Linked DNA regions of Danio rerio. The protein of the gene in region 5 purifies or fractionates together with the protein of the main gene of each other region. This does not show direct contact. Links are inferred from orthologs where the notes say so. Each region holds a gene or a part of one and is shown on either strand. Other genes may lie near its edges.

Region 1 (6,286 bases), on a different chromosome or scaffold from region 5:
TAAAGTCCACCGGATGCTTGTCTTAAATTGCATCCAAAACTCTGAGGCAAGGTTGGTGAACAATGCAGTGCAGTCAAATGACGCCACAAGGAGCAGGAAAACCAACAAACATCAAGCCTCGGTTTCAACGGAGAACTTCAGCATTTCCACTAAAGCAGCGCTTTTCTTTTTAGTTGAGCAATGAGAGCTCAGATAACAGGATTCTGGGTAATATAGAACAGATGGCTCTCGCTGCAAGAGACCAATGCATAGACCTCTAACCCAGAGGGCCACACAGGGGCACTAAATAAATCACACTGTGCCTCAGCCCAGCCTGGAATCACTTTCCTTCCTCACCTTTCCATAACCAGTGCATCACTCTTTCGGGCTAACATACACATGCAGATATTTACAATCTAAGACCAAATAAAATAAACTAATGACTAGTTGCAAAGCTATTCTATCCATGTCCATTTTTTTTTTTAAAGTATGAAAGTACAAAAATCCAAGTTATGACTTTAATTCTTAGAATGATTCATTTAATAGTGTAAGAAAACTAAAATATACACGTCTATTAGAATCACTTTTTGTATCAAATATATTGCCAATATAACTTATTTTCTTACAATTTATCGTCAACAATTAAACTATGATGGTTTCTGACAAAAAGCTCATGAAAAAAGAAACATCTGGACTTCCTGTGTTCTCGAATGGTGTGGCAGAATGCGGTTCTCACTCCTGATCTGGCAAACTTCACATTTCAGCAAAAGAACCATTTTGACGACATGTGTGTGAGCTCTGGGACTGTGTGATTCTTTGAAGGACTTTCAAAAGGCATAAAACTTTTAAAACTGGCGGAATTCAGAAAAAAAGTGCTTTTACAATTATGCAAGAATTGAAACAATGCTTAAAACATAAAGCAGAGTATGTTAAAGAACAGCTCATAAAACAATAAAATTCATATATTCATAAATGTTATCTTTAGACTTGCAGCGTATGCTATTTGTTAATGGTTCAGGGGCCAAAAGGATTATTTGATTCAAAAAGTCTGAAACGCAAAGAACTTTAGTAAATTCAAGCGCCTTATCAAACACGCAAAAACGTTCCTATATAAATTGCTAGACCAAATATCAAAACACACATTCCCAAGTTATCTAGCTTTCAAAGATATGCACAATACTATCAAACTTTAAATCAGAATAACTTTCTTGCCAACAAATGAAAGAGTCTGTATCTCTTAACATACATTCCACACATAACACTGAAAAAAAAAGAAAACTGCACTGAATGAAGCAACCATTGTACCCTACACTAGCCACAACAGATATGGTTATAAACAAAAAAGTGTGAGACTCAAAGTTGGAGAGCCATTCACTTTACATCACTAACATAATACAAAGTTCTGCATGTTATATTGTTGAGCTGCCAACTTACTACCTACACAACCTCAGCTATCTTTAATGAGATGTTAAAGTCTTACAGGAATCAATGGGAAATTTAAGATTGCAATTAATTCATGGCACACTATAAAGTATATTAGCATAAAAGCTCAAACATTCTTTAAATTTAAAATAAAAACAACTCTAAATTAACCAATTATTGATATAAAGGGATCAAACAGAATGCTGAATTTAAACCTTTTTGGTTCAGCGCTGTGTACATGCAAGAACAATAGCGGTCTAGTGTTAGTAAGGCCAGTTTTCTTCATCTTGAAACTCTCTATACTGATTTTAGTGTAATCTAGACTAACTTTACATATTTTAAAGTAAAAAAAAGATAGTGTATGTCTAGTTTGCATTCGTTCCTGATCTATGATAAGAATTGTAAAGTGAAAAGTATATATTCTCACTGATCTTAGACAGATTAAATGTGTATGTCTAGTTAACGATCTTTCTGATGTGTGATAAGAATTGTAAAGTTAAAAGTGTGTATTCTCACTGATCTTTGCCATAGATAGCATTGCTTTATCATTATAGCAAAAGTGGACTGAAAGAATGAAGTCATTCTTAAAATTTATTCCTGACAGTGTGTTTTAAACGCAATAAGTGCATTGCATGATGCAATGCAATGGGTCAATATAGTGACCCACACACCATCTGAGCAGGCTGGGGCAAATCAATGTCCATGCGATCAATTCATTTACAGGATGGCTCATGTAATACACTAGACCTTGTTCAATGTATGCATATGCTAAAAATTGAACGATTATCAAAACATGCAAAGGCATGGCATACTCTTAATGCTATTGAAAAGTGAATTTATTGCTCATCTTGAATGTATTGATCCTGCCCTCTATCTATCCTTCTAGTCTTTGTTAATGTCTTATATATAAATATTATTCTTATATATAAATTAATCTTATATGCGAGTTTATATTACAGAACAGCTAAGAGTTATATAAAAGGACAATGGACTGTAGATAAACATCAGACTTGGCGGTAAAGCTCCATCAAAAGGATCTTCAATAACACTGAAACCTGCTGAAATAAAACCAGACCTCTCGTGCTTTAACACTTCATCAACCAGGATATAAAGCTACTGCCTGAAAGCAACGATCACAAGCCAAATAACGTATATGCATACAATACCTGTGCTTGAAATTGTCAAATGACGTTGACATATTGCACAAACGGGGGAACAAACGTCAATGACGCTTCTAATATAAAGCGCTGCACTGCACGAATCCCTTCCTGCGATTACAAAAAGGCATATTTCACATACTAAAGCATTTCCTTTTGTTCGCCTGCGTGTGAACGGACTTGTTTTTTTTTTTTTTTTTGGTCAATCAAAACTACAAGTTGAGCGCAAGCATCTATTTTCTGCGAGCAGCTGATGCAATGCTCTTTGTGTGACACTGCTTGTGCATTTCATCTAATCCATCGCATTATATAAACCTGCGACGCGTCTTTTGTTATTAACCCCCAAACTGTCTTGATCTGAAATGTAAACATTTTGGGAGTTAGATTGCAGATTAGCGGTCAATCGATAGATCAGATTACGTAAAATGAGGAAAATGACATTTTATGACCTCACTGGAGTTGCTTATATTGTAGTCGTCACATGTAACTTGCAGACAAGCCTAAAATAACCGTATAAATGAAACGACGGCTCGATAACGTGGATAAATTAACAACTGACATTAATCTAAACGGCGTTGAGCTGATGCAGGAACAGAAACCAACTGATCTAGATCACATCATGTACAATCGGGGACTCAGTCAATAGTTCCTATAAAAAGGGAAAAGCAAAAAATGTAAATAAATGCTCATAGCTTTTTATATTCGGACGGGACGTCAGAGATTTCTTGATTTGGAACAAGATGCAAGCCGTTACCTTCATTGCCGACACTGGTTTCAACACAATAGACAGAACAGGGACATTTGATTGATCAAAGAGGATACATGTCAAGTCCAAGTCGAACCCGTCTTCTTGGTATCTCCTTTTATTTCTACTGACAAATTCCTTTATGATCGCAGCCATGGCTGTGACAGGAGTCTTTAGGGTTTTTAGTGTGAGAGAGAGTATTGTTGCTTTCGGACGGTCGGTCGTCTTTATGCTCTGCTCGTTTCGCAGTCCCCCAGCTAGCTAGAATGGAGTCTGCTGTGGCTCACTCATCAAGGGCCTCGCTCCAAACCACCACAGGCCCGGCTTCCAAAATGCCCTCCTCGGCTCAGACGAGCCCTGGGTGAAAAGATAAGCAACTTCCCACGTCTGGAACTGCAGAATCTCTAGTGCACGACAAGTCTCTGGTCGCACCGAAGCCGCCGTGATTGAGCGGAAAGGCGGAGAGAAAATCCTCTCCGGTGCTTCCACTTGAAGATCGGTCGTCAGAGCCCCGCTCGCACTCAGCTCGCGCTCCGTCTAGCCTCAACGGCTAACGCGCTAGCCCGTCTACACATCCTTAGAAAATAAAAGCCATTAAACTCTACGACAATCCGCGATGACCAGGTTCCAACACATGAAACAAAATGTGACAGCCTCCACCAAGAAATGAAAAACTCGATATTTAAATGTGGCGTAAGAGACACCTCCGGTTCTGTCCTTATCCTCCACTGCTCCACTGCCTGTTACACTCTCAAACTTCCATCATGGCTTCCCATTGAAAAAAGATGACGTTCGGACGACATATTCATCCGCATTGGCAAATAGTTCTACGGCTATTTCATTTTATGTCAACAACAAATATGTTTTTGCATCCTAGTATATAAATATACTTATTTTAAAGCATTCTTGTTGAGCTGACATGGCGTTAAATTAAGTAATATATCAACTATCTAATGTTAGGGTTACTGCGAGCGCACTAATACACAGTCGGACTACGTTTTGTTCCACGGTCACGTGTCTACAGAAATGAGCCAAGTTCCAATATTTTATATCAGATTTCAAGTCAGTTATGTAGGTGTTCCGCTCCAACATTGTCGTTTCCTTTTATGAAACAAACTCTAATTGGCTTGCCACACAATAACTGAAAGGTACAACCTACGTTTATTTTAGTCCCACTTCTGAACACGGAGAAAATATCAGAATGCACGTAAGTTATGTACCCCTCTCACCAGTGCCTCGACTACCCTGCAGGAAATTACTGAAATGCTTACGCCAGCAGAAAAGTAAGTTACTGCACAGAGGCACAATCATATTACCAGATACCTGTACATTAAATTATAGAAATTAATTGCGCCCACCTGTGATGCTAATTGTATTTAATTATGTATTTGTGTTATAGGCGTGTTCTGTTACGTTTGCTCAGATGTGGATTTTGCCCCAAGGACGAAACGGAGGTGGAAAGTTCTAGCTGCGTTTCAGACAGCAAATCCTTATTGTAGAGCGCCATCTGTCAGAATATTCTAGAATAAAGCTCGTATGCTACAAGACCAGTGGTGCCTAAACATTTTCGTAAGAAGGGCCTAAAACCAAACATCACTGAGAGCCGTGGCCGATGGTAAATATACCAAACTACATTACATTAAAGTTGCCATGAGTGATTTGTTTCATAATATTTCCAAATAATTGTTACTTTGTGTACAAAATAAATGTTACATTAAATTGTATTAACTAATGCAGTATACATTTTTAAAAGAAAACATTATTGCAATAAAACTTAAATGAATATGAATACAGAAGTCAAGCACAATTTGCCTTTGATTTGATTTGCTCACCAAAATCTCTGCATTGCCGGGTGACAGTATGCACATTTAAACAAAATCTGAGTAATTTACACCATTTAATTGAAACATTCAATTTCAGTTAGGCTTTAACAATAAAACAAATAAACAAACAAACAAAGGGTTACATTTAATTTTAAATGACAATCTCAGAACCCTCCTCAATTCTCCCTTTCTTCTCAAATGGGTTGGCGAGACAAATCAAAGGTTACCATGGGCCAACATTAGCCAGCACAGCAGGTCCTACTTTGGAGATCTAAATGCATCAACTTTCTTGTTTTTAATAAATAAATAAAAAATGTGTTTATAACTTTGATATCTCGTTAAAAGTAATGTCAACTAGAAGTTCAGTCACAATGTAAACTGCATCCACTGTGTCAACTGAATGTAGTAGGTACTAGCAGTAGATAAACAAGTTTTATTATTTTGTTATCATTTTTGTATTTTATCCATGATAAATTTCACATTAGCTACATAATATTGTATAGATTATATTTAAGTTTTGTCCTCTCTTAAAAAGTGCAACAAACATACGAATTGATGCAATGAATTTTGTATTCATAATAATGTTATGAACTTGTATGTTTTAAAGACATACAGTTCAGTGTCAGCAGATTTTGAGGTAGAAAAAGATGCTTGTAAAGCACAGATCTGTCATGGTCTAGTCAATGGTAAAAGCAATGTTATTGTAAAATATATTTTGAGGTTTATGTTATAAGGGACTATGCAAAACACTTCAGAACAAGTATAACAAGTCAAGTCCAAATTGTGTGAATGTCAACTTTGAAAAAATGACTACCCTTTTGTCTCACGCAAAACCTGTACATATTTAATAGATTATTAATATAACACCTGAAATCAATTGTAAGTGTTTTGGGGTCATTAATGTAAATCAGTCCTTGACTTTGATGGCAATATATAGATTTTAAATGCAGTCTCTCTAGAACTTGCTAATAATTTAGGTTATGATTTGCAGAACCTACTAAAACAAATGGCCAATGCATTAAAGCATTTTTTAAAATCCCTTTATTAGTTTTTATTTTCATCTTTGCTCCTTTCTTGAACAGTTAGAGCAGTTGTTGTATAACTTGAGTGGAAGAGAGCAAATTAGGCTGAACTTTTAAATTATTTATTTTTGTGTCATT
Region 2 (5,859 bases), on a different chromosome or scaffold from region 5:
TCGGCTATTCACTTATGCCTAGTTCAGACTGTGTGATTTTAGCCGCGATTTCGGCTCGCCCCAGGTTTTGAGAAATCGCCGACAAATGCCTGAAATCACAGGCAAATCGGTGCTCGTGCATGTGAGTGCCAATCACACAGTATGAACCATCAAAGATGCGATCTGAGAGAATCGCCGATGAGTCAAATCATGCCGTACGTATTTGCACAACGTATTTGAGGACCGGCAGGGAGACACAATTTCCGGGAGATTATCATTCGTTTGCAGGCATTCGGTAGTCTCTGTGCATTTGCGGAAAACTCCCAGAACTTCCGGGAGACTTGGGATGTCTGGAATGACCTTCCACCCTACTCTTAATTCTCTCTTCGTATTGCCATATGCCTATTACATATCCATAAAACACTATGAAATTGCCGTGCTTGGATCATATCGCTTTCTTACTACAATCGATCCGCTCCAGAGTTCGTTTCAATCAAGCCGAGACCACCTCATTCAGGTGATCTCGGAGCGATTGTTTTGGCGCGGATCCGAGCGCAATTGCTGGATTTACATATGCCAAACGAACCATGCTAACTAGGCAATGGAGACAGGTTCCGAAATAAAAGTCTAGATGTGAAACCACCCTTAAACTACAACTTTGAGGGGGGGAAATGGTGGCAAAGTGTTTGCTTTGAACAATAACATTTTACTTAAAATGTGATTTTTTTTTTGTGAATACTGTGATGTTTCACATATGCATTTAACAGGTTAAGTATTGGCGCACAACATGACATGCAAAACAATGAATGTGCGTAGACGTAGTGTATCTCTTTACAAAACATATCACTGGCAAGCACACAATGCATAATTTGTAAATTATTAAATTAGTTTTAACGGGAATCTTTTTGACAGCAGTTGATTGTAAATGTAATTAATCAAAAACGAAATGAGTAAGCATGTAAATGTATTTTAAAGTCAAGTCTTGATACATAAAATATCAAGTTCTAAGTTAAGGTAGGTTAATGGTCATTTTTCACCCCTATTCTCACCAAATTATACCAAACTTTGTAATTAAAATTTGCTTGATTCAAATAATAAAGGTTTTGTCAGCTCCTAATTTACATGTTATTATCAATTCTAAAGGATCATATGATTGTGGAGAATAGAAAAAGGAAGCTGAAATTTTTCCTTTAGTTTAAAACATTGAAAGAAATTAATAAATAATATAAAACTTGACCAGTTTTACTGATCGGATAAAGACTTTATCAACGCAAAACAATGCTTTAAAATTCCCCCCTGAATTAAAGCGCTCCTATAAGAGGATGAGTGATCTTTAATGAAGCTTATTTAACTTTGCTTCTAACCTTCTTTATATTGATATTTCTGTTCCACAGGTTTAGATGCCTCTGGCTCAATATTTTCTGTGTCGAGCTTGTCCTCTTTTTCCTCCCATGTTTCATCTGTCTCTTCCACTGGTGGGGCTGGGGGCTCTTTCTGAACCACCTCTGGCTCAGGAGCTGGCTTCTCCTCCTCTGGCTGAAACGGGTACACAAGATTCTTAAATCAAGATGCACACACACAAAAAAAAAAAGAAAAAAAAAAGAAAGAAAATAAAAACGTAATAAAAAAATAAATAAAAAAAAAAATCACAAAAGGTGCTACTGTAAAAACAAATGTATAATGACAGCACAAACCTCCTTGAAGGCATCTAGAACATCTCCAACATCCTTCTTATTCAGATCCTTGATCTTCTTTTTCTTCTTTAGCACTATTGGGGAGGCAGCTAGGGAGACAGTAACTAGAGTCAAACTTGGAAAGGAGATAAACAAATAATATTCTTTACAATCCTAATTTAATAATTTACCAACCTTGCATAGTTGTTTCTTCAACAAGGCAGACTGGTGCAGGGGTGGGGGCCTCTTCCGCTTTCTCCTTTTCGGTTTCCTCCACAGATGCTTTAACAGCTGTAAGGCAGCTCTGCTGGTCCTGTGGAACCACTTGTTCAGCAACTGGATTAGCGGAGCTCTCTGGCTTTACATCTGGAACCTCTGCAGAGTCCTGGGGCAAACCGTTTAACAAAGGCTGTTCCTTTGGCTCATCGGCAGCCAGTTCTGGAACGGGCATCTCTGTGATTACAGGGGCACCATCACGATCTTCAGCTACATTAGGAGAAGACTCCACCGCACTGGAGGCGACAACAGCTGGACTTGAGGCTGCTGTAACTTCTGTTTCAGCCACAGGTTCATACTCTTTCTCCTCGGCTTCCTCTGGCTCCACAGGAGCACAGGGCTCCTTGGGCTCCTTCTGAGCAGAGGCTTCAGGGAGCACTGGAGCATCCACACTGTCTGCAATTTGAGGCTCTGAAGTTTGGGGATTGTTTGCAGGAGGAGGAGAAGGAGAGGGTACCACAAGATCCTCTTCTGGAGGACTGGGAATCTTGCTCTCTGGTGAAGCAGGTCTGACTTCTGACTCGGGTTTAGAGTCGATGGATGAAGGTGCTGGGGGCTCTGGTGTCTTACATGGAGGAGGGGTGGACGCAGATGCAGGACTTACCATGGCCTTCACTTCATCATCTGAAGATCAAGCAGAGTAAACATTATTAAAAATAAAAATAAATTCTCTAACCAAAATGGATGGTTGACAAAAATGAAAATGATAAAAATGACAAGCTGCAGAAATTTCTTAAATTATTACACTGATGTCTGGAATACTCAATTCTGATTGGTCAGTTGTGACATTCGAAGGTATATTATTCCCAGTTAACAACCGCTGAATAGCAGATGCTCATTTGGTAAACTTCAAAATCACCATGACCTGTGTTCACATCCATATATTAATATCCAAATTAAAGTGTTACATTATGTAACACCGCTGTTTTTGACTGTTTGGCCCCATCTTAAGAATGAATAATACATAGGTTGATCTATGCTCCATTTAACCAGTTTCATTTCTGCTTGGTGTTTGGTACCATCTTGTGACTGAACAATGTGCAAGTTAGTTCCATCAGCTCTAGTCAGCTGTTTTAGTTTCTGTCAGCTTTGCTTTAGTTAAATTAATAGACTGTTATGACTCAGAACAATGTTTTGTATCAAATGTTTTTGTTTTGGGGCAATAAGCGAAATAAAGTATGTCAGACTGTTGTTTTTGTCAAATTAAGCTCTTCAGTCTTCTACAATCAGTCTTATCTACTGTATCAGGCTGCTGCTAAGCCTGTTAGTAAAACTGCAGATTGATGGTAACATCTAAGCCCCACAGTAGTGACAATACACCACTGAAGTAAATCTTTGCCATTAATTGTACTTTTAGCAACATTTTTAAAATAAATACATTTAAAATAAGTGTTTAATAGAAAACAATGACACTTTTACAGGTTTAACTTTTTTAAATTGGTCTGGAACACAGTGAAAACTCCATCAACTCAAAAGTATGTTAACTCTGAAATGAGACTCTTGGTTTTCCGTTTTTAAATGGCAGGTTTGGCAAACTCAAGAAAGCAGGGTAAGCCAAGCCTGTTTCTGAAAGAGAACTTTTACTCAGACACATGAGTGCACATTTAAATCCATTTAAAAACTCAATTTTAGAAATTTTATCCTAAACTGATCAATGCGAGTAAAAGTGGGAATCTTAAATTAAACATTTCTGAACATCAAGTTTAGGTTATATGCATTCTTGTTTTGTCAAATTTGCAGTAGAAAATATGCAGTAGCCTATTTTATACGATTTAATGCAATTACGTCTGAAATTACTTTCAAATTACGGCCAACTCCCCACTTTAAGTGAAAAGTCAATAAACGTCACATTACATTATTAATTTTTTATTATTCTTCAATATTTAAATACTTTAAACGTAAACTTGCACAATAACTTAAATAGCTATGTTTTCCACACTCAGTCTCTGTTTCGCTGATACAGTGGTGTTGCTTTTTTTTTTTTTTTTTTTAAATATATGGTTGTATTTGTTGCATGAGCACATCAGGTTCAGCTGGAGAAAAATGCTGATCTCTTTTTTTTCAGATGTTGCCATGGTGACTCATTATCTACGCTCCATTGATAATACCTTTTTATAATTGCAGTGTGCACGCTTAACTCTGAATCAGTCTACTCAGACTTGATTGACCCAACTCCTATCCGCTTTTCTGAAACAGAACTCTTAAGTTTTTAATCTCTTAGTAAGTCAACTCAGTTTATAGATTTAAACTTCCAGTTGGTTCAACCTCCTTATTGAAACATTCCTTATTTTGAGGTTATTGATGCATACGCAAGTGGATAAATCCAATCTATCAGACATGGAAATCACATTTGAAACTTGCCACTTTTTTCAGGATGGAAAAACAGTTTTGGCAATAATGTACTTTTTTTGCTTGTTATTATTATTATTATTATTATTAAGAATGTATACTCACCAGTGCTGATCTCAGCAGGAAAAGTTGGAACGCTTTCACCATTGGTCTGAACTGGACTTCCCACTTCTGTACCAGCAGTCTGGAAAAACAAAACAAAACAATGAACTCATTGTAATATAAATGAGCATGGCATAATGAACAAAAGCATGAAAGTGTCAAACCTGTGGAGGAGTTGGTGTGGAAGTCGTTCTTCCACCAGACATTATCTCCTCTGTGATATCACGTCCACCCTGGTTGGGGTCACGTATCCTTATCTGTTAAGCGGCATCAGGTAAGTGACAAAAAAAAAAAAGTACTAAATCGAAAAACACAGCAAAAGTCGTTTCCACCCACCTGTTTGCGTTCTCTGGGTTTGACTGGCCCTGTCGGCTGTGGAGCAGCTTGCTGTGGAAGTGGAGCCTGTTGCTGCTGAGCAGGGTTCATCATCACAGGTGTAGGAGGCACTGGCGTTTGGTACTGCTGTGTTGCAGGGTAGTAGGCAGCTGCTAGACCACAAATAAGGCAAAAAAAAGACAAGATCAGACACCAAGATAAGACTTTTTGCTGTAATGGGAGGGGGACCCACATGCAAAGTACCCCCCTACCCTGTAAAATCACTTCCAGACTCCCTGAGGAAAACAAAGAAAAATCAATATTTCATTAACATAGCTTCTTTCTATTCATAATAAAAGGCTAATTCACCCAAAAACTGTAATAATCATCCTCAGGTTGTTTTATACACTCAAAACTCTAATTCATCCTTAATGCCACTCCATTGAAGGGTCCAGAAAGGTAGTAAAAATTGCGTTAAAAAATGCAGGCTCACAAGAGCATTTCTTGTACTACTTCCTCGATACAAGACAGCACCACCACGCATTCGTGCTTTGTTCACACTGGAGCTGAGGTACAGGTAGGGATGCAACGATATAGATTTTGGTTGTACGATTAGTCTGAGAAATAATCATGGTTATCATGATTATTATGCATTCATTCATTTCAAAGTAAAAAAAAAAAACTTAACATAAAAACTCCTCATATTTGAAAGAGTTATTTATTGCTGCTCAGTAACTAAATACAGCACAAAATAATAATAATAAAAAAACAATAGTCCCTAAAACTATTTCCCTTTTGACTTAGAAATATGTGAAAACTAATTTTTGGCATAAAGTAATAAATTAAGTAATAAAGTAATAAATTAAGTAATAAATTTACACTGAAAATAAATGACAGAACAATGAATAAATGAATAAAAATAAGAATAAATAATAAAAATAGTCTAATGCAGGGGTGTCCTAACTCAGAGCTAGTTTAGTTACAGCAGTTTGTTCCATGAAACGTGATGTTGAGAAGCCTTTATGATTATTAACCATGTCAAATTAAAGCACGGCATCTCTACATACAGGAAGTGATGTATTGTGTAATAACACAATTTGTGGCACTGTTGTGCACAAAGTAGAAGTTGTAAACGTCAAAAAATAGTTTCTTTTTTCACCTCATT
Region 3 (5,859 bases), on a different chromosome or scaffold from region 5:
TATATATATATAAATATAAATAATTGTTTTATAATGGTATTTTAACTCATTTTAATAAGTTAACTAGGTTTAATTGAATGTCTTTTGTCATCAGTTAAAGTAAATTAATGACTAGAAAATATAATTTGATTTAACTAAAATAATTTAGGTTGCAGTAGTGTATTTTTTTGTGCGAATCATGATTATTAATAAACAGATATGTAATTTATAAATGTAAATTTTACATTAAATAATAATTAGCACAAGTGTTGCCATAAAAATAGCCAATGCTGCAGATGAGGCGTTAAAAAAAAAAATTAAGTGATAACAGAATAGCAAATCCTGAAAGGTCTGCTCTTTTTTTTTATCAGAGCATCTTTGTATATATTATCGGTTTAATCTCCAGGCTGGTCACGAAGAGTGAGCGTCTGCAGACTGTAGAGAGAGAGATGGAGCAGCAGAAGAAGCAGCACAGCGTGACGGTAGACAATCTTTTACTGAAGACACAGAATCTGGAAGCCGCACTGAAGAACGAGAGGCTCGTCATAGTGGAGGAGAGGTGAGTTCAGCGGGATGTAGAAAGCAGCTTCTTGCTGTGATTGTTAGAGTTGTGATGGCAAGCCACAAATCCTGTTGCTCTTCTTTTTGTCTAGGAGGAAGCTGGCCCAGCTCCAGCATGCATACACGTGTCTGTTTCAGGATTATGACAACAAACTTAAAAGCGAAAAACAAGCCAATCACAGGGTAGGTATCTGCTGTTTTTAAACTGTTTATTGGTTATGGTACCATTTTCCTTTAACATTTCTGTTCGTCTTTGACCAGTAATGAAGAAAAAATGTAAAAAATAAATGAAATGTTTTATTTTTGTATTTATTCATACGTTATATTTTTAGAGATGGCTTTATATTGCTGTATGTTATTTTATTTATTTAATTAAATTATTTATTTATTTATTCATTTATTTATTTAATTTAACATTAGCTTGTTTTAATTTAAATTTTTGATTGCTTTTTACGGTGTGTGTGTGTGTGTGTGTGTGTGTGTGTGAGAAAGTCAATAAACCCAATAAAATTACATTTATTATTATTCATCATATTTGTAATAAATATTTTATGGTTACAAATTTAAATATGTAAATGTTTTAGAAAGTTTTCTCAATAGTAGACACTAGTCATTGAACTTCTCTTAAATTGAAACGCTACAAATCTGTGACTTCATTTTTGTGGTAGACACTTAAAATAATAGGTCAGTGCATGGTTTGTGCTCTATAGTTGTTCATGGAAACTATGTGTGGTATTTACCTTTTAAGGGTGGAGAGACGGATACCCTTGCTAACAGGTTAGGGGAGGCTGAGAAAGCACTGGCCCTCAAACAGGAGCACATTGATAAACTCAAGGAGGAAATGGAGCAGCTGAGAGCTAAATTAGAGACCATACCGGTGCTGAACCATCAGGTGAAAATATACTTTGCATTAAAATTAAACACTCATTTTTTAGGCTCTGCTATAAATGTGTATACGATTTAGATCTTGCATATAGTAACACAAACACAATGGCGACATGTTTTATTTTTACAGGCAGAGATCTATAAGATGGACTTCTTGGCTGAGAGGGAAGCCAGAGAGAAACTCAATCAAAAGAAGGAAGAGTTGCAGGAGGATCTGAATAAGGCATTGGTCGAGATTGAAAGATTCAAGCAAGAAAGAACCTCACGGTATCAAAGTTATTTTATGTATTGGTTAAATTGAATGTCTCAGGGTATCCGCTGAGTCTTAAAAAGTCTTAAAATGTGTTAAATAGCAAAAACTATTTTAGGCTTTAAAGTCTTAAATTCACAGAAATATTGTGTTGTAGGTCCTAAATCATTTTAAACAGGTCTTAGTTTTCCTTTTTTTATGTAAAGCTACTCAATTAATTCAACCTATATCCAATCACCAACAATACATCTAAAAAAAAAACTGTTAGCAAAACTCTTTTTATAAATAATACTATAACAGTTTGTTGTGCATACATTTAGTTAAAATTTTTATTTTTAAAGTTTTTAGTTAGTATTTATACAAATAGGGTCTGCTTGTTTTGATATTTTAAATATTTAAATTAGTTATTTTAAATATGTGGCTAAGAAATAACTCATTAGAATTAGTTTTTTGATTGGGAAAGTATTTTTTTAAAATCCTTCGCGTTAAGTCCTAATAAAGTGTAAATTTAATTCTTGATGGTCTTAAAAAGTCTTAAATTGGACAGAAACCCTGATATTTGATGGTTATTTCCTCAGTTTTTGCATTTAGTTTAGCTTTGTCATTATTTTCTACTTAATTCAGCAGATCCCAGTATGTATATGCATGATTGTCATTGTGCTTTTTAATGCCTAAAATCACTAGTAAATAACAGAATGTAGTTTCTAGTTTATGAATTAACTAACATGAAAATAGTTTTTATGTAAGATTTGCATTTCCCATTACTGTCATCCTGCCCCGTTTTAATATCATTATTTTTAGAATTATAATACTTAACTATTTTATATGAGTTTTGGGGATAAAGAATCGATGTGTGGCAAAAGCCCATCTATTCAGGAAGAAATCTTCAAGTTCAGCATCTCAATTGGAAAAAATGTCCATTTCAAATCAGTCCATCCATCAACCTATAAAACACCAGCAGTTTTTATCCTTGTTTTACCATGGTGCATGTCTCTGTTATTTGGCTACACTTTGAATTCAGAGCATGTCTGAACTAAATTTCTAATGTAATGTATAGGCCATTATCCCACACCGTTAATCCCTCTTTGAGTCATTGATTGATCGATAGAAGCGAACTGCTTTTCAATATTTGATGATAACAGCGAGCCTCTGTAGTGAACAATAAGCAAAAACTCGGTTTAAGAGAATTTTCTTTGGCTTCAACTTTAAGTTTTTAATATACATTTAAATTAAAAACAGTAGCATTGATTTATGTTATCAATCTCTGCATTTCATTTAAAGGTGCAGTAGGAGATCTTCCACAATGCTAACAGCTTAGCATAAATCTCTGAATCACAGTCCCTCCCCTGCCGTCTAGAGCCACGCCTCCTGAAACACAAGCACAGCAAAAGAACCCTCTCATGTGTTAAAAGCGACTAGTGCATGTCCGGCGGCATGCAAGCCAAACTGACATGCTATTTCAGAGTGAATATTTAGAGTTGCATGGTTAACAATATAGGGAGAGACTAGGCGGAATAGTGGCGTTTACTTGTGTTTTGTTGTTAAACTAATTAAAATCTCCATCATTGATGCTGTAAAAGGACCCTTATGAAACTGAAAATAGTCTTATCAATCTTTCATCGGAAGATTTTAGGAGCTGAACAACACTTCTGTGAAGATATAACCCAACATCTAACGTTACATCAGCTTAGCGTGAAGCTAAAATAATTTTAAAACAAAACATTACCTGTCTAAGAGAAGGCCTTCAGACATGGTGTCATCCTTTCTCCAGCGTGCAAAGGTAACTCCAATATTGATTCAGGTTTTTAAAAAGTTTTGATTCAGCATGTTTTTACCAACCGCGCGCGCGTGCACGCATTCTCTCTCTCTCGTGAACGTGCGGCGGTTCGGCAGAACTGCGTACAAACGGCTGCGCAGTTGTTCAAATCTGCATTTGCTGACAGACAGATTGAGCTACTTATCGGAATTATGAGAGATGTCCGTCCGACTCTATTTAATTGGATGAACATTTTTTTGTTTTATGCCTTACCCAAAATATAAAAATACATTAAAATAAATTTAGATCATTTACTGTAATCATTACTATTAGACTGTGAAGAGACTTTCAACCAGTACAACAAAAATTGCTCCTGAAGACAATCACCTACTGCACCTTTAAATTAAAATCTAAATAAATTCAAATGAATTGCATGAACTAATGTCCTCTCCCTCCTGTTGTCCAAGCGTTTGATGTGAATGTTGTTTCCTCACAGAGCTCGCATTGAAGAGATGCAGCAGAGACACTTGGAGGACTACAGGCCTCGACCTCACCCGCCACCTCCAGCTGGTAAAACACCTGTTTTCTTCATTAATTAATACACAGGTGCTTTATTTCCTTTAAGTTAGTTAATTAGATTTACAGGCTACATGACAAAATGCATCTCTTTAAAGAGTCATTAAGCCACTGTTCTCTCACCACAGGCCACAAAGGTGAGGTGTGTGTGTGTGGTAAAGCTACTGAGTGTAGGGGAAGTGGTGAGACTTGGGCACCACACAAATTCACTGAAATTTGTTTTAAAACATAATTTTTATGCTTTGTGTTCACATAGCTAACTATATATATATATATATATATATATATATATATATATATATATATATATATATATATATATATATATATATATATATACACATACTTATATATTCTCTGAATATATTGTTACAATGGTAAAAACAACAACAAAGAAACTTGACACAGTAGAGCAGAGAAACCCTACTTTCGGAAAAGCAACACAGAGAGAATGCAGAAGTATAAATGCTCACAACAGAGTCAGCTACGTGCGAGAGGTGTGCCGTGGGCTACAGAAGTATACATTGCAGAAGTATAAATTGGGCTTATCCCAGAAGATGAATCTCGTTTGAAAGGCATTTTTGATGAGGACAAGACTTTAGCTGCGTTCTGGTCTAATTTTTAAGCCCTTCACTTGCCACTTTACTTTCCTTTGTCTCATTCCCTCGGATGTATGTCATTGATTACGTTACACAACTATACACTGCTGGTGGACAATCTGAATGGGTTTTAATGGAATGCCCTAACCCCTTAAACACCTGGGACATACACTGTTGTGATATCACAATCACATTAAATTCTAGGTATATATAGGTTCTGAAGTGTATGTATGATACCAAATCACTCCATCGGCTAAAACCAAGGGATCGAGGGAATGTCAGTGTAAACTTCATGAGTGTGCTTCTAAAGGCTGGTTTATACAATAAATATGACCCATGGCGCATACCTTGCAAGTTGCCGTGCATTTAAGTCTGATTTGTACTTTTATGTCAAGCACACGTGTATGCTCTGCCACAGCCTGCGCATGGTCGCATAGCCCTTGCCATGGCCGACACCGATGCGCACCTCTCAAAAAAATGTAATTACACTTTACAACGACAAATGAATGTAGGCGAGACGAACTGATGAGTGTTGGCGAGACCGAGAGCCTCGCGAACCCATTGGAGCGAGTGAGTCCCAAGATAAAGCTCCAGATGAAAACTTCTGTTTTGTGTTTTCCTTATGGTTAAAGTTAATGCATATCCGCTGATTTCTGCCTCAAAATGAGCGCGTTTGAGCCACTTGTACATTATGGTAGCATTGAAAAAGAATCTCAACACAGAAGAACATAAAAACCTCACTGCCAGCTAGTGTTTCAGAAGTGTTACTGCAGAGCAACACAAAGTGCACAGAAGTATAAATGCATGACAATGCGCGAGGCAGGCGCCAAGGGTCTCCCTGATCACACGACACAGAAGTATAAACTAAGCTTGAAACTAGGCTGATTTATACTTCTGCATCAAGCGCGCACATATGGCCTGGCCCAGCCTTTGCGCTTTTGCATAGCCCTCGCCATGGCTGATGCCGAAGCTGATGTACACCTCTTAAAAAATGTAACCACACGTTGCAATGACGCGTAGCGCAAGCTCTGTGATTGTGATTGCTCTGTGAAGCTCTGTCGGCTTAGTAGCAGTGACGAGCTCGTGTTTACAAGTGTCGAGTCTCGTGAAGGATCTCCAAATGGAAATTTTTGTTTCATGTTTACCTTATGATTAAAGTTGTTGCACATCGGTCGATTTTTCGCCTCTGAATAAGCTAATTTTATGGCCCGTTTCCACTGAGTGGTACAGTTCGTACCGTACTGTACCGTACC
Region 4 (5,859 bases), on a different chromosome or scaffold from region 5:
GGTAAAATGAACAAAAATGCTGATCTAGGAAGAAAGAAAAAAATGGGTTAATAAAAAAACAATAGTAATATGTGTGATTTATGGTGTTGCCAGGGGGGGATTTAGTGATTTGTGGGCCCTAAGCAATTCCTGCAGTAATATGCACCCATTGGATTTGTATTTATTTATTTAGCTGCCTTTTTCTTACACCACTCCGTCTTTTTTCTCCATTTTAATGCAATTATAAATTTTTTTAAGATTTATTTGCTTAAATTGAATTCCTAGCTAAAATTATTGAATAGACTTTTGGATTTGATTTTTATAACTAAATCTTCACCTGATTTGACTGCTAGACTGATCCATGATTGGGAGTGGGGGGACACATTTGCAGAGATGTGATAATCAGGGTGAATCTGTATTTGTTAGACACTCACAGAATAAAATATGTCTCAAAATGCTATTTCATATAGTTTATAAAAACATCTAGGTATTTATTGGGGGCCGTCAAATTTCCTGGGGCCCTTAAGGCTGGTTTATACTTCTATCTCGAGTGAACCGGCACATACCTTGCGCGTAGTTGCAAGATGTCCTCGCTGCAGCCCGCAGCTTGATATCGTAGACCAGTGGTCACCAAACTTGTTCCTGGAGGGTGAGTGTCCTGCAGATTTTAGCTCCAACCCTAATCAAACACACCTGAACAAGCTAATCAAGGTCTTACTAGGTACACTTGAAACATCCAGGCAAGTGTGTTGAAGCAAGTTGGAGCTAAACCCTGCAGGGACATCAGCCCTCCAGGACCGAGATTGGTGACCCCTGTCATAGACGATCGTCAACTATGTAACGGACCTTGTACCGCCCTAAGTTTACGCTCATGCTACCATGATGGTTGGGTTTAGGGTAGGGGGAGGTGTAGGCGATCGTCAACCACGTAGCAGACCTGGTTAACTACGTCATCAAGCTGGGGGCTGCAGCGAGGACTGTCTCCATAGCTGTGCATTTATACTTCTGCATGCTGTTTGTGTTGCTCTGCATTAGCACTTCAGAAACGCTAGCTGGCAGTAGGTTTTTAAGTTCCTCTATGTCCAGTTTCTTTACTGGTGTTTGGACGTCAAACTTGCTCATTCAAAGGCGGGAACCGATGGATGTGCTTTAATCATAAGATAAACAAAATAAAAGTTTTCATCTGGAGCTCCTTTTCACGATACTCGACACTTGTAAACACTCATTCCATCGGCTCTCAGCACCGCCCACACTCGTCACAGCTACCCAAGAAGACCAATCACAGAGCTTGTTCTATGTGTTGTTGCGACGTGTAGTTACATTTTTTAAAGAGTGCAAGTCGACATCAGCCATGGCGAGCCTTAAGTGGCTTACTATTAAATCTGCCCCTGGGTGTTGCATGAAAAGACCATCCTGTCTTTTTTAAAGAGTTACAAATTTTGTTCATTCAGCACAAGTGAAGTTTTTTTCTTTTCTTTTTTTTAAAATTCAAATCTGAGAGATTTCTTGAAAATCTGCACATGCAGAGCTCTTTAAAATGTTCTTAAAGAGGTTAAAAAACCTGTATGAATCTGTCTGAGGAGACATGACTGGCTTAAATCATGAACAGATTTAATTTATTCAAATATAAATGCTAATCAGTAATGTTTGGTTGACGTGGAATGTTTAGTTTCTGTTTGCTGTTCAAAGTTAATATATGTGAATAAAAGCCCAATATATATCTATTCATCATTTTAAATGTGATTCATCAGTAGAATTGGATTAAATCTCTTAATTTTTATAAAGAGTCAAGAGTTTTGGATGAAAAAACTATAAATAAAGGAAAAGAAATATGCCATATCTTTAAGTTCTACAAGTTGAGCAAAGGTAAGTATTTGGAACAATAGTCAGTGATTCCTTTGTGTGTGTGTGTGTGTGTGTGTGTGTGTGTGTGTGTGTGTGTGTGTATATATATATATATTTTTTTTTTTTTTCCTTCTTTTTTTGCTTCTTGTTTTTCTGTCCATTACAAGTCATATAAATTTATCTTTTTAGTCAAGTGAAAGTGAGGGAAAAGTCAAGGAATTTGACATTTGGTTTAGAGTGGGGAAAAAACAAATATGACAAGAAGAAATCATCATGGTAACCAATGACAACATTTTCATTTTGTGGTGAACCAAGGCAGCATTTACACTGCAGATCTTGATGGTCAATTCCGATTTTGTGACTGCATCCGATATGTTTGACAACCCGCTTACATAATCTCTTAAAAGTGACTTGTGTTGTCTGCATTTACACTGCACCAGCAAAGACACAATGAACACGGTAAAAACAGTGGGTGCCGACTGACGGTTGTGATAATAAAATGATCCATTACTGTAATGAATCAGTTTGAAGGTTGTTGGGTTTTTTTATGCATGCATGCATGTACACTACTGATCAAAAATTTGGGGTCAGTTTTTTTTTTCTTCTAATAATTAATTTTATTTAATAATTTAAATAAAATTATTTTGTTCATCAAGGCAGCATTTATTAAATGAAAAAAAATATTAAATACATATTTATTAAATAATTAAATATTTATTTATTACATATTGTATGTAGTTTCAAATTAAATCATTACTCCAGTCATTATGGCTCTTATTACTATTACGATTAATAATAATAATAATAATAATAATTAATATTAGAGTAATTTCTGAAGGGTCATGTGACTCGGAAGACTGGACTAATGAAACTGAAAATTCATCTTTAAAATCACAGGGATAAATGATTAAATTAAATGATCAACTACTTTTAAACAGTGATTTTATAGTGCAATATCATTTGACAATTTAACAATGTGTACTGTATTTTGGATGCAGCCTTGGTGAGCATGAGAAATTTATTTTAAAACATTTAAAAATCCTACTGACCCCAAATGTTTCACCGGTAGTGTATAACTTTAAGCCCTATGCAATTTCTCTGTCTCGACACTGCTGCTAAGCATATTCATGGGCAAGTTAATTTGTTTGTTTATGACGAAGTTCTCATTTGGTACTTTGGTACTTTTAATGTAGGCTTTTCAGCAGAAATGTGACTATCCCCAAATCTCAACTCAACTTGACTGTTTTCCCCAGCTTTTCCAGCAGAGGTCACCGATGAAAGTGCTTCAAGCAAAACTACATACATACTTTGTTATACACTGCCCTTATGTGCTTTTGAACAGCCAACTACAATCATGTGCAAATGCAAAAGTGAGCTTTTCTTGAATAACCAGTGTTCTGCGTGCAGCTGAATGTGTCTTACCTGTTCAAGAAAGGGTCAGAGCTGTTGGTGGTCATGTTACGGGCGTCTTGGCCCATACCAGGTGAAGACACAGGGTTTTGGGTGCCGCCATCCTGCTCCATGCTGGTTGGCAGCTGGTTTCTGAGGGCGAGCTCCTGCACACACACACAAAACAAAAGCAACATGCCTCAAACCGTCATGAAGCAAGCAGACAGGGTTTGCAGGAACCGAACGGAAGCTTAGCGGAAGTCTGAATAGCTAATTTTTGTTGGAATTACTCCAAGTACAGATGAGAGCAGATACATTTTTCTACTGAAGAAAAAGGACAGAACAAACTATACTGGTTTTACTATGAAACCACGCATACGTGCACAATGAACTATCAATGAGTTATGGGAAGTAAAGGACAAAAAAAAAAAAAAACTTAACCTACAAGTTTTACTTAGTTTCATGTGTGTGAGAAATAAAAGCCTTTTCCCATCCAACAAGTTCCTAGGAGTTACAAATCTGGTTATGATTTATCAATGGATTGTGTAAGACTGCTTACTTCAGGCCTCAGCTCAAATGAGTGGTTTAAAGAGACTCACGCGAAGGTGTGGGTTTATTGCACATCATTTAGTACAGAAGGGTCAGAGCTTTGATTTTATTACAGACTTCCTATGACTAATTGAAACTTAAATACTGTCACAATTTCTGCTGATTAAAGGATGATTCAAGCACTGCTTATCAACACGCCATCCACACTGACCCTTTGACTGTTTGAGTGCACTTCACTCATCATAGCTGATAATTATTCATCACATTATGTAAAAAAAAACTCATTTAAATTAACTGACATGATTTTTTTGTATTCGTTTTCAAAAAATATATGTATAATTGAGAGTAGTTTAATTTTATTCAGTATTAACATATTTTATTTGAATTTTTTTGCACAGCCATCTTAACTTTTATCATTTATTAGTGAATATTAAACATCTGTACTTAAAATGAAAATGAATTATTTAATAGCATCCAGAATATAGCTGTTAAAATAGTTGAGAAATTTATAGATATGCGTTTGAGTTTATTGTTAAGATTTGAATTATTGTGTAAAAGGTCTGATAACATTTCCATATGTCAAATAACAATATTGCCATTGAGATTTTTATTATTCATTATATACAGTGCTCAGCATAATAGAGTATAGCCCATTTTTGAAATGAATATTTGTATCTGTTTCTCAGTAAATATAGGCAATGTATTCTGGTGCATTTAAACAAAACAGATATATTTATTTAAATAATATTTTAGTTACCAAACTTATTTAGAAATTGAGAGATAATACTATTAAAATCAAAGCAAAATACTGCAAAAAAAAAAAAAAAATCAATACAATTTTCTCTTTTTTTTGTTGCTCTTGATTTATTTTCTTTTTTAAATTCGTATGTAATATTTTTCCATAACATAAATTTGGGTGTGCTCATTTTTTGGCCATTATCGTAAATTATTTTGTTAGATGAGCTCCAGATTTGGCCTCAGTACTGACTAATCTAATGTTTTTGCACAAATATAACATTGTATAGCTTCCTATTAAAAATAAACAAATTTCAAAGAGAGATTTGTGAGAGGTGTAATCATATTTGCTGAGCACTGTATTTCAGAGGGAAGAATTACACTTAACTGTGGTCATGCCATTTTATAGATTTTTTTTCTCAAAAATGGTATGACAGCAGCTTGTAATTGTTCATCTGAATGTCTCTTTCCTCTGATGGGAACATTGTATATAATTCAGGGGGGCTGATAATTCTGACTTCAACTGTTATAATGTTATATATATAACTGTTATATATATATATATACATATAGTAAATAATATTTTATATTATACACACACACACACACACACACACACACACACACACACACACACACACACACACACACATACATACATACATACATACATACACATATATACACAAACAGAAATGGACAAAATTGTTGGTACATTTCAATTTTGTCCAGTCCACTTTCATAAGCTTGCCTTTTTTAACACTTCTGTTTACCCAAAATTCGAAATCAATATCTGATTTTCATTCATTTATTTTCAGTAATTTTTGATTAATAAAGACATAATTTTATTGACCACTATACTTTTTCTTTCTTTAATGGATGATGATGATAATGGTGTATTTTTATTGAATGCCATATCAGCATCCAAGGCTATTTTCATTTTTCTTTAACCTTTTGTCCACTATGTATGAAAATACCCTATATAAACAAATAAGAAAAATCCAGAAAATTGTCAAAACAACAAATATTTAATCGACAATTCATGGTTATTTAACCAAACACTTTCGTCTCTTTGCAATATTAGTTTGGGTATTATGCAACAATTATTACAACCAAAACATGGAATCATTTTTAGTTATTCTTTGCAGTTGTAATTTGATGTTCTAAATGCTCTAAAAACACTCTAAATAAGTTTTTACACACAGATTTCAACATCTACTAATCAGTCAACCTTTAGCCAATTAAAACTATACATAAAATATAATGTTATTTAACATATAACATAAAAATCAATACAATAATAGAACTAAATCCTGCCCTACAGTTATCTTTAAAAAAAGTGTCATGATATTGAAGCAAAAC
Region 5 (5,859 bases):
TAGATAGACGAACTGATGAATGGATGGATAGATGGATGGATGCATGGACAAACGGATAGATGGACGGAAAGACAGATAAATGGATGGACGGATATAAATGAATATATGGATCGACAGACAGGCGGAAGGACGGACGATTAGACAGACAGACGGATATATGGCTGGCTAGATAGCTAGATGGATGAATGGACAGACAGACAGACAGACAGACAGATGAATATAGATGAATACAAGAACAGACGGACATATGAATGGACGGACGGACAAACAGATAGATATATAGATGGATAGATGGGCAGATAGATGGACGGACGGATAGATATATGGATGGAAGAACAGACAGATAGAGATGAACAAATAAATTAATGGATGGACAGACAAATATGATATTCATTTGGTGATTGATAGACAGATAAGATATATAGATAGAACCATAGATACAGACACAACAGACATATGATTGGACAGATAGATATATGAATTGATAGATGAGATGAATGGACAGAAAAACAAACAAGCACACAGACATGAATGGACAGATAGATAGATGTAGACACAGACAGACATATTTTTAAAGGAGCCGAGATGCTTTAAAAACCAGTCTAGGGTTAACAGGACAGAGAACTTATTGGTGCCAGCAATAAAACATGCTACTGCTGCCATCTTGTGGACAGAAACACAACCCACATTAAATCAAGAAGAAATGGTGTGCCCGTAAATCAGAACTGACACTAGTGTGATTACAAAGCTACATGCTGTTGATTTCTTCTGTAAAATCTCAAATAAAAATCTGAAAAATACGCAGAAATACTGTTCATAAAAACAAAAATAATAATAATAAAGGTCATTAATTTTAAAAAGCTAAGGCAGATAGCAAAACATGATCATACACAGCTATCATTAAAACGAATACAGCAACAGATTAATATCATGTTCATGGAGCTTTCCGTATTTGACCAACACAATGTACAATCACTGTAGAGAAAAACAGCTGCAAGAAAATGACTAATATAAACATTAAACAAGTACAATTTTTTTTTCGGAGATCTTTCTGGGGGGGGGGGGTCTAATTAGCTAATCATTACTGTAAATTCAAGGCAAATATATAAATATTAGGTTAATTATAAGCTAATAAACCAGACATTTCTATTTAATTCAAGATATGTCATAAATACATGTCACAAACCAAAGTCTTTGAACACACAATTATACAAGTAAAATAGTTCTGCTTTTAGACCATACAATATGGATTGTCAAATTGGGCTCATATTGTGTAATGGTCTACATTTAATAATAAACCTCATTTCCACAAGTCGCTTGTTCAGCCTTCTTTAACTGCATGCATTTGTTATTGAGATGTAAAACAATGAAGCAACATTTAATCTGACATGATTCTGCAACATGATACAAGAATGTTAGGAGTAAAAAGGTACGAATCTTTGCAAACAGGTAAATATATTGTGTAGGCAGATTTCAGGTTATACCTTTTTTTTTTTTTTAAATAAGTTAAGAGATAAAACTTTCTCCGTTCAAAATTGACAATTCTGAAAGCCAGCGCTCCAAATAAAGAAAGCTGTTTGACCCAAGTATTCTGAAGATACAATTATTTCACATGATGAACAAAATGGTCTTAAAACCTTAAAATTGGAAAAAAAAAAAACATTTGCATCAAGTGGTACTCACTGCAGAGCTACATGGGCGGAGCTGAGCTCCAGCATGGGGGAGCTAGAGCTCCCGGTCCTTCTACAAGTGACGTCACTGGGGGTTGGGGTTAGGGGTGGAGTAGGTCTACGCATTAAAACAGCTTACAGGTGGAGGAGCTGGAGCTTAAGCTCCCCCACCCTGGAGGTGAGCTCTACCCAAGATGCTCTGCAGCGACGACCCTTTCAATCACATTGAGTAAACTGAACGAAAAATTTATGGAATGATGATTAAATGACCAATTTTCATTTTGGGTGAATTTAACATTTAGTAGAGAATGCACCAAGCAATCCTTGAAAAACAACAGAACAACTTTTAAAATACACTTGCAGCCAATCTCCAGTAAGGGGTGACCAACCCTGTTCCTGGAGAGCTAACTTCCTGCAGATTTCAGTTGCAACCTTGACCTTCCATAAACATCTGTAATTATCAAGTGCTGTATCAGGTCCTATTTATTGGTTCGAGTGCGTTTAATCAGGGTTGGAGCTGAGTTCTACAGGAAGGTAGCTCTCCAGGAACAAGGTTGGTGGACCCCTGTTTTGGACCAAAATTTGCTTAGGTGTAACTTTCAGCAAGCAAACAACTACATTTAGTGCAATACAGCATTCTTTGCAGTTTGGACTCAACCATTAACATCATGTAATTTTACCTGCCAATTTTGGGGCCATAGGGTCTTCAGACACGGGGACAGGGCCTTCACGCACCTCACTGACCTTTTCAGGCAACTCGGAGGCAGTCGGTGTGAATGTGACAACAGCAGGCACACTCTTCACCTCAACATACGCCTGAGGACCTCCAGGTAGAGGCTTGGAGTTGTGGAAGAGGCTTGCCCAGGATTTCGGTGGGGTGATCGCAGGTGCTGCCGGGACAACAGGCGAGACCACCGGCTGAACGTCAGAGTCTAACGAGAGAGGGGTTAGAGAGGAAGCAGACTGCACCTCACTCGTTTCAGAGGAGTCCTGGAGTTCATCCACAGCTCCAGCAGCTGAGGCGGTCTCTGGCAGCCCGTTGGCCTCCCCCAAGCCCTCGGCCTCCCTCTCATCAGTAGTAGCAGGAATTGTGGTTGTAGGGGTGGCCAGAGCAGCACAGGGAAGAGGGGAAGGTGGAGAGGAGCTGTGCCCGCCGTTATCCAGAAGTACTGGGCTCTCTAAAGCAGGGGGTTCTGCATGTTGCTCTGCAGTCCTGGCACTCTGTGCCACCCCACTGCTCTGAGAGGACGAAGATGAAGTAGACAAAGAAGCTGCACCATTTCTGTCTAACAAAGAGGCAGCTCCACTCGTCAAGTCAAATGTATTGTCAGGGCTTTCACAAGTCCTCTGATTGGAAAGTGGGGTGGTTTGGGGTGCAGATGTTATAGAATTTGGGGGAATTAGCTCTGCCCCAGGTAGAATGTCCCCAACCAAGTCCTCTGAACTCAGGAGTGGAGCATTTGGTGAATGTCCGTTGACCAGGCTTGGGGGCCCCACTCCATCTGTGGCCACACCAGTGCTGTTGCTGTTTGAACCCTCTAGATAGTTGTAGTATCCCGGCGGTCGTTTTTTCTTTTTCTTCCGTTGTCCCAAGCCACCCGAAACCCCATCCATGTCCAAGCAGGCTTGATGGCTGCCCATGTCTGAGGTCTCAGAGTTGCTGCAGCATAGGGAGTTGAACTCGGCACCGTCCGGGATATCAGCAACAGGTGTAGCTGTGGCAAGGGACTTCTGAGATGGTTGGCAGCCCAGGATGAACTCAGGGGCCTGAGGATTAAGAGTGCTAGAGACTTTGTACAGCGAGTCTTTCACTGCCACAGGCTCTGCATTCATTACCTCATCCACACCAAACTCAATATGCTGGTAGTCCTCTCCTGCAGATCGAAACATCTCAGTTAAACTCATGTGCATCTAAATAATTGTAATGATTTTCTGTTACAAATCTGATTTATCTTTTTTTTTTTATAAAACACTCAATTACTAAGATACTAGAGGTACCATGTAGTTATTTATATACAAAGACTCTGAATTGAAAGTGTTTGTGGTACTAAACGGTGCAGACTAAGCAGTGAAGGATAGATTGAAGTGAATGGAAACAGTGTTAGTGAATGCAAGTCACAATTACTCTACGAATTCGAGTCTCAGAAGTAGCCAGTAGTCAGAAAAGTAAAGCAACCTTAAGTCATAAAGGGAACACAAGTTCCCAAGCAATGGATCAAAGAATAGATAAGACCACATCCTCTGTTAGTATTCATTTTAGATGTTTTATTTTAGGCAGAAATGGATGGCAAACTCATAAGCAACATAAGTCAACACTGTCACATGTTCAGGTGATATTCTGTTAGAGGTCCTGAAAAATGGTCCATGAAGTCATATTCTTAGATGTGATGTGTTTTTTGAGAGAATTTCCAAAAAAGTAATACCAAAAATAAAGCCTCCCATCAACTCCAAACACTGCAAGTAGATGCTTATGCGCCAGAGAGACGCCTGGCACCTAGGCATGCAAAGCTCCAAAGATTAAATGGACAGGCAAGAATAAGAAGTAGGGGTTTAAGGTTTGGTAAAGGGGAAGGTTTAGAAAGCTGTCAGTGTTTAAGACCTAAGTGTTGAGTTCTGCAACAAAAACAGAAGATTAAGGCGGTGTGTAGTGGACCGAAAACTCACCGCAAACCTGCCGTCTCAATGATTCCGTTATGTAAGGCACAGCAGGAGTGCAGTAACCTCCTAAATAATTGATACAGATGAGGGTGAAGGTCACAACTACCTGAGAGGGCAATATGATACTGTCTCGGGAAAGATTATTAAGACTACAGAGATGGGAACGTAGCCCAAGGAGCTTTATATACAACTGATGAATGAGGACCAGTCTACAATTTAAGGATTAGGATGCGAATAGGACAGATGAATATAAATGAACTCTGTATCCCATGCGTGACGAAGCAAGCTATGGTCAAAGCATAATACATGATAGAAAACCATTGTGTTTGCTTACGTGGGAGTAATTAAGGATCTTGCAATCTAGAACTCATATCTTTATTTCTGTAGCAGTATTTGTAGTGATATTCAGATGAAGCTTTGATCTTACCTGAGGAATGGCTGACGCAGGTGACTTTATCATTGAACGGGGGAAGCTGATAAGAAATTTGGATGAGATCACTCAATCACATCAAGTCAATAGAAGAACATGCACACAAACAAACCTTTATTCCTTAACCCTATAAATGCAAGCGCATGTTATCTAAACTAAATACAGGTTTTTAAAAAAAAAATTATAACATGTACTTTGGAATGGAAGGCCAGAGTCGAATGTACAAACAAAATGGACAGCAAAACGATGTGTAAAAACTAAACAATGACTTGGCATTTTATTAGAGTAAAAAGAAAAAAAGTAAACAAAGAGAATGTTGGCACCACATTGGTAATATATTATGCCAAGAGGTGTTCTGTATTTTAAGTTACACTTGCCTTATACCAACAACAACAGGGAGCAAAATAAAAAAAATAAATTAAGACTACTTTTTGCATTAGAGGCAAATTTAAAGAAAAATGTAAAGGATCATTAATGGCCCATTTCCACTAAGTAGTTTGGTATGAGTCGGTATGCTTTTATGCCCGTTTCCACTGTCAAAACAAACCAACAAGCAAACCTATTGTATCACTTTTTGGGTACCTTTTCCAAAGAGTACCTAGCAAAACAAAAGGGTACCAAAAGGCACACAGCTATACACACAGCTAAACGCTATTGGTTACAGAGAAGTGTCACTAGTGTATGCACAAGCCAGGAGAATGAAAACACAGGAAGCACCGTTTTTAAATGCACAGCCGAGACATGAAACCATAATAATATAAACATAATAAAAAGTCATGATCGAGCCAAGCTTAAACAAACCTAGTCGTCGTCTTGCTGAACAGCCACAAAGCCAAGAACAAGAGCAGAACCTGTGTGTCTTGTTGCTTACAAGGGCGTCTAAAAGCGCAAGTGATTTTACTTTCTCCCAAGACCTCGCAATCGCTCGCCACACATCCATCTATGAAATAACAAACTTCTTGAGCTGATAATGTGCACGTTATAGTTATATATGGCTGCACGTGATTATTAAAGCACTTCTGACATCTGATCCTTTCAGAAAGGGACAAACACGAGAGAAGCGCTAAAAAGCAAAGGAGAAGCCGAGAAAGAAGTAGAAAA

The links.
Region 1: the proteins of usp10 (region 5) and ptenb purify together in Homo sapiens (affinity purification with western blotting; 4 studies listed by BioGRID, with this or other methods). This does not show direct contact. The link is inferred for Danio rerio from reciprocal best matches to the Homo sapiens genes USP10 and PTEN.
Region 2: the proteins of usp10 (region 5) and eif4g1a purify together in Homo sapiens (affinity purification with mass spectrometry; 4 studies listed by BioGRID, with this or other methods). This does not show direct contact. The link is inferred for Danio rerio from reciprocal best matches to the Homo sapiens genes USP10 and EIF4G1.
Region 3: the proteins of usp10 (region 5) and ikbkg purify together in Homo sapiens (affinity purification with western blotting; 3 studies listed by BioGRID and IntAct, with this or other methods). This does not show direct contact. The link is inferred for Danio rerio from reciprocal best matches to the Homo sapiens genes USP10 and IKBKG.
Region 4: the proteins of usp10 (region 5) and yap1 purify together in Homo sapiens (affinity purification with western blotting; 4 studies listed by BioGRID). This does not show direct contact. The link is inferred for Danio rerio from reciprocal best matches to the Homo sapiens genes USP10 and YAP1.

Annotation. Positions count from the first base shown.
Region 1 is NC_133187.1:19,017,051-19,023,336, forward strand, and holds the start of ptenb (phosphatidylinositol 3,4,5-trisphosphate 3-phosphatase and dual-specificity protein phosphatase PTEN), read right to left. Parts: upstream 4,083-6,286; 5' UTR 3,460-4,082; coding exon 3,381-3,459; exon of another isoform or gene 3,313-3,380; intron 2,868-3,312; exon of another isoform or gene 2,568-2,867; intron 1-2,567. UniProt on the Homo sapiens protein: Dual-specificity protein phosphatase, dephosphorylating tyrosine-, serine- and threonine-phosphorylated proteins.
Region 2 is NC_133177.1:19,188,418-19,194,276, reverse strand, and holds part of eif4g1a (eukaryotic translation initiation factor 4 gamma 1a), read right to left. Parts: intron 4,868-5,859; coding exon 4,716-4,867; intron 4,637-4,715; coding exon 4,544-4,636; intron 4,462-4,543; coding exon 4,383-4,461; intron 2,553-4,382; coding exon 1,848-2,552; intron 1,763-1,847; coding exon 1,674-1,762; intron 1,516-1,673; coding exon 1,344-1,515; intron 1-1,343.
Region 3 is NC_133198.1:21,478,497-21,484,355, reverse strand, and holds part of ikbkg (NF-kappa-B essential modulator), read left to right. Parts: intron 1-385; coding exon 386-538; intron 539-632; coding exon 633-723; intron 724-1,288; coding exon 1,289-1,432; intron 1,433-1,555; coding exon 1,556-1,692; intron 1,693-3,927; coding exon 3,928-4,001; intron 4,002-5,859. UniProt on the Homo sapiens protein: Regulatory subunit of the IKK core complex which phosphorylates inhibitors of NF-kappa-B thus leading to the dissociation of the inhibitor/NF-kappa-B complex and ultimately the degradation of the inhibitor.
Region 4 is NC_133193.1:40,215,778-40,221,636, forward strand, and holds part of yap1 (transcriptional coactivator YAP1), read right to left. Parts: exon of another isoform or gene 5,437-5,859; intron 3,381-5,436; coding exon 3,247-3,380; intron 1-3,246. UniProt on the Homo sapiens protein: Transcriptional regulator with dual roles as a coactivator and corepressor. Critical downstream regulatory target in the Hippo signaling pathway, crucial for organ size control and tumor suppression by restricting proliferation and promoting apoptosis.
Region 5 is NC_133182.1:74,662,084-74,667,942, forward strand, and holds part of usp10 (ubiquitin carboxyl-terminal hydrolase 10), read right to left. Parts: intron 4,802-5,859; coding exon 4,756-4,801; intron 4,395-4,755; coding exon 4,335-4,394; intron 3,545-4,334; coding exon 2,351-3,544; exon of another isoform or gene 2,247-2,350; intron 2,083-2,246; exon of another isoform or gene 1-2,082. UniProt on the Homo sapiens protein: Hydrolase that can remove conjugated ubiquitin from target proteins such as p53/TP53, RPS2/us5, RPS3/us3, RPS10/eS10, BECN1, SNX3 and CFTR.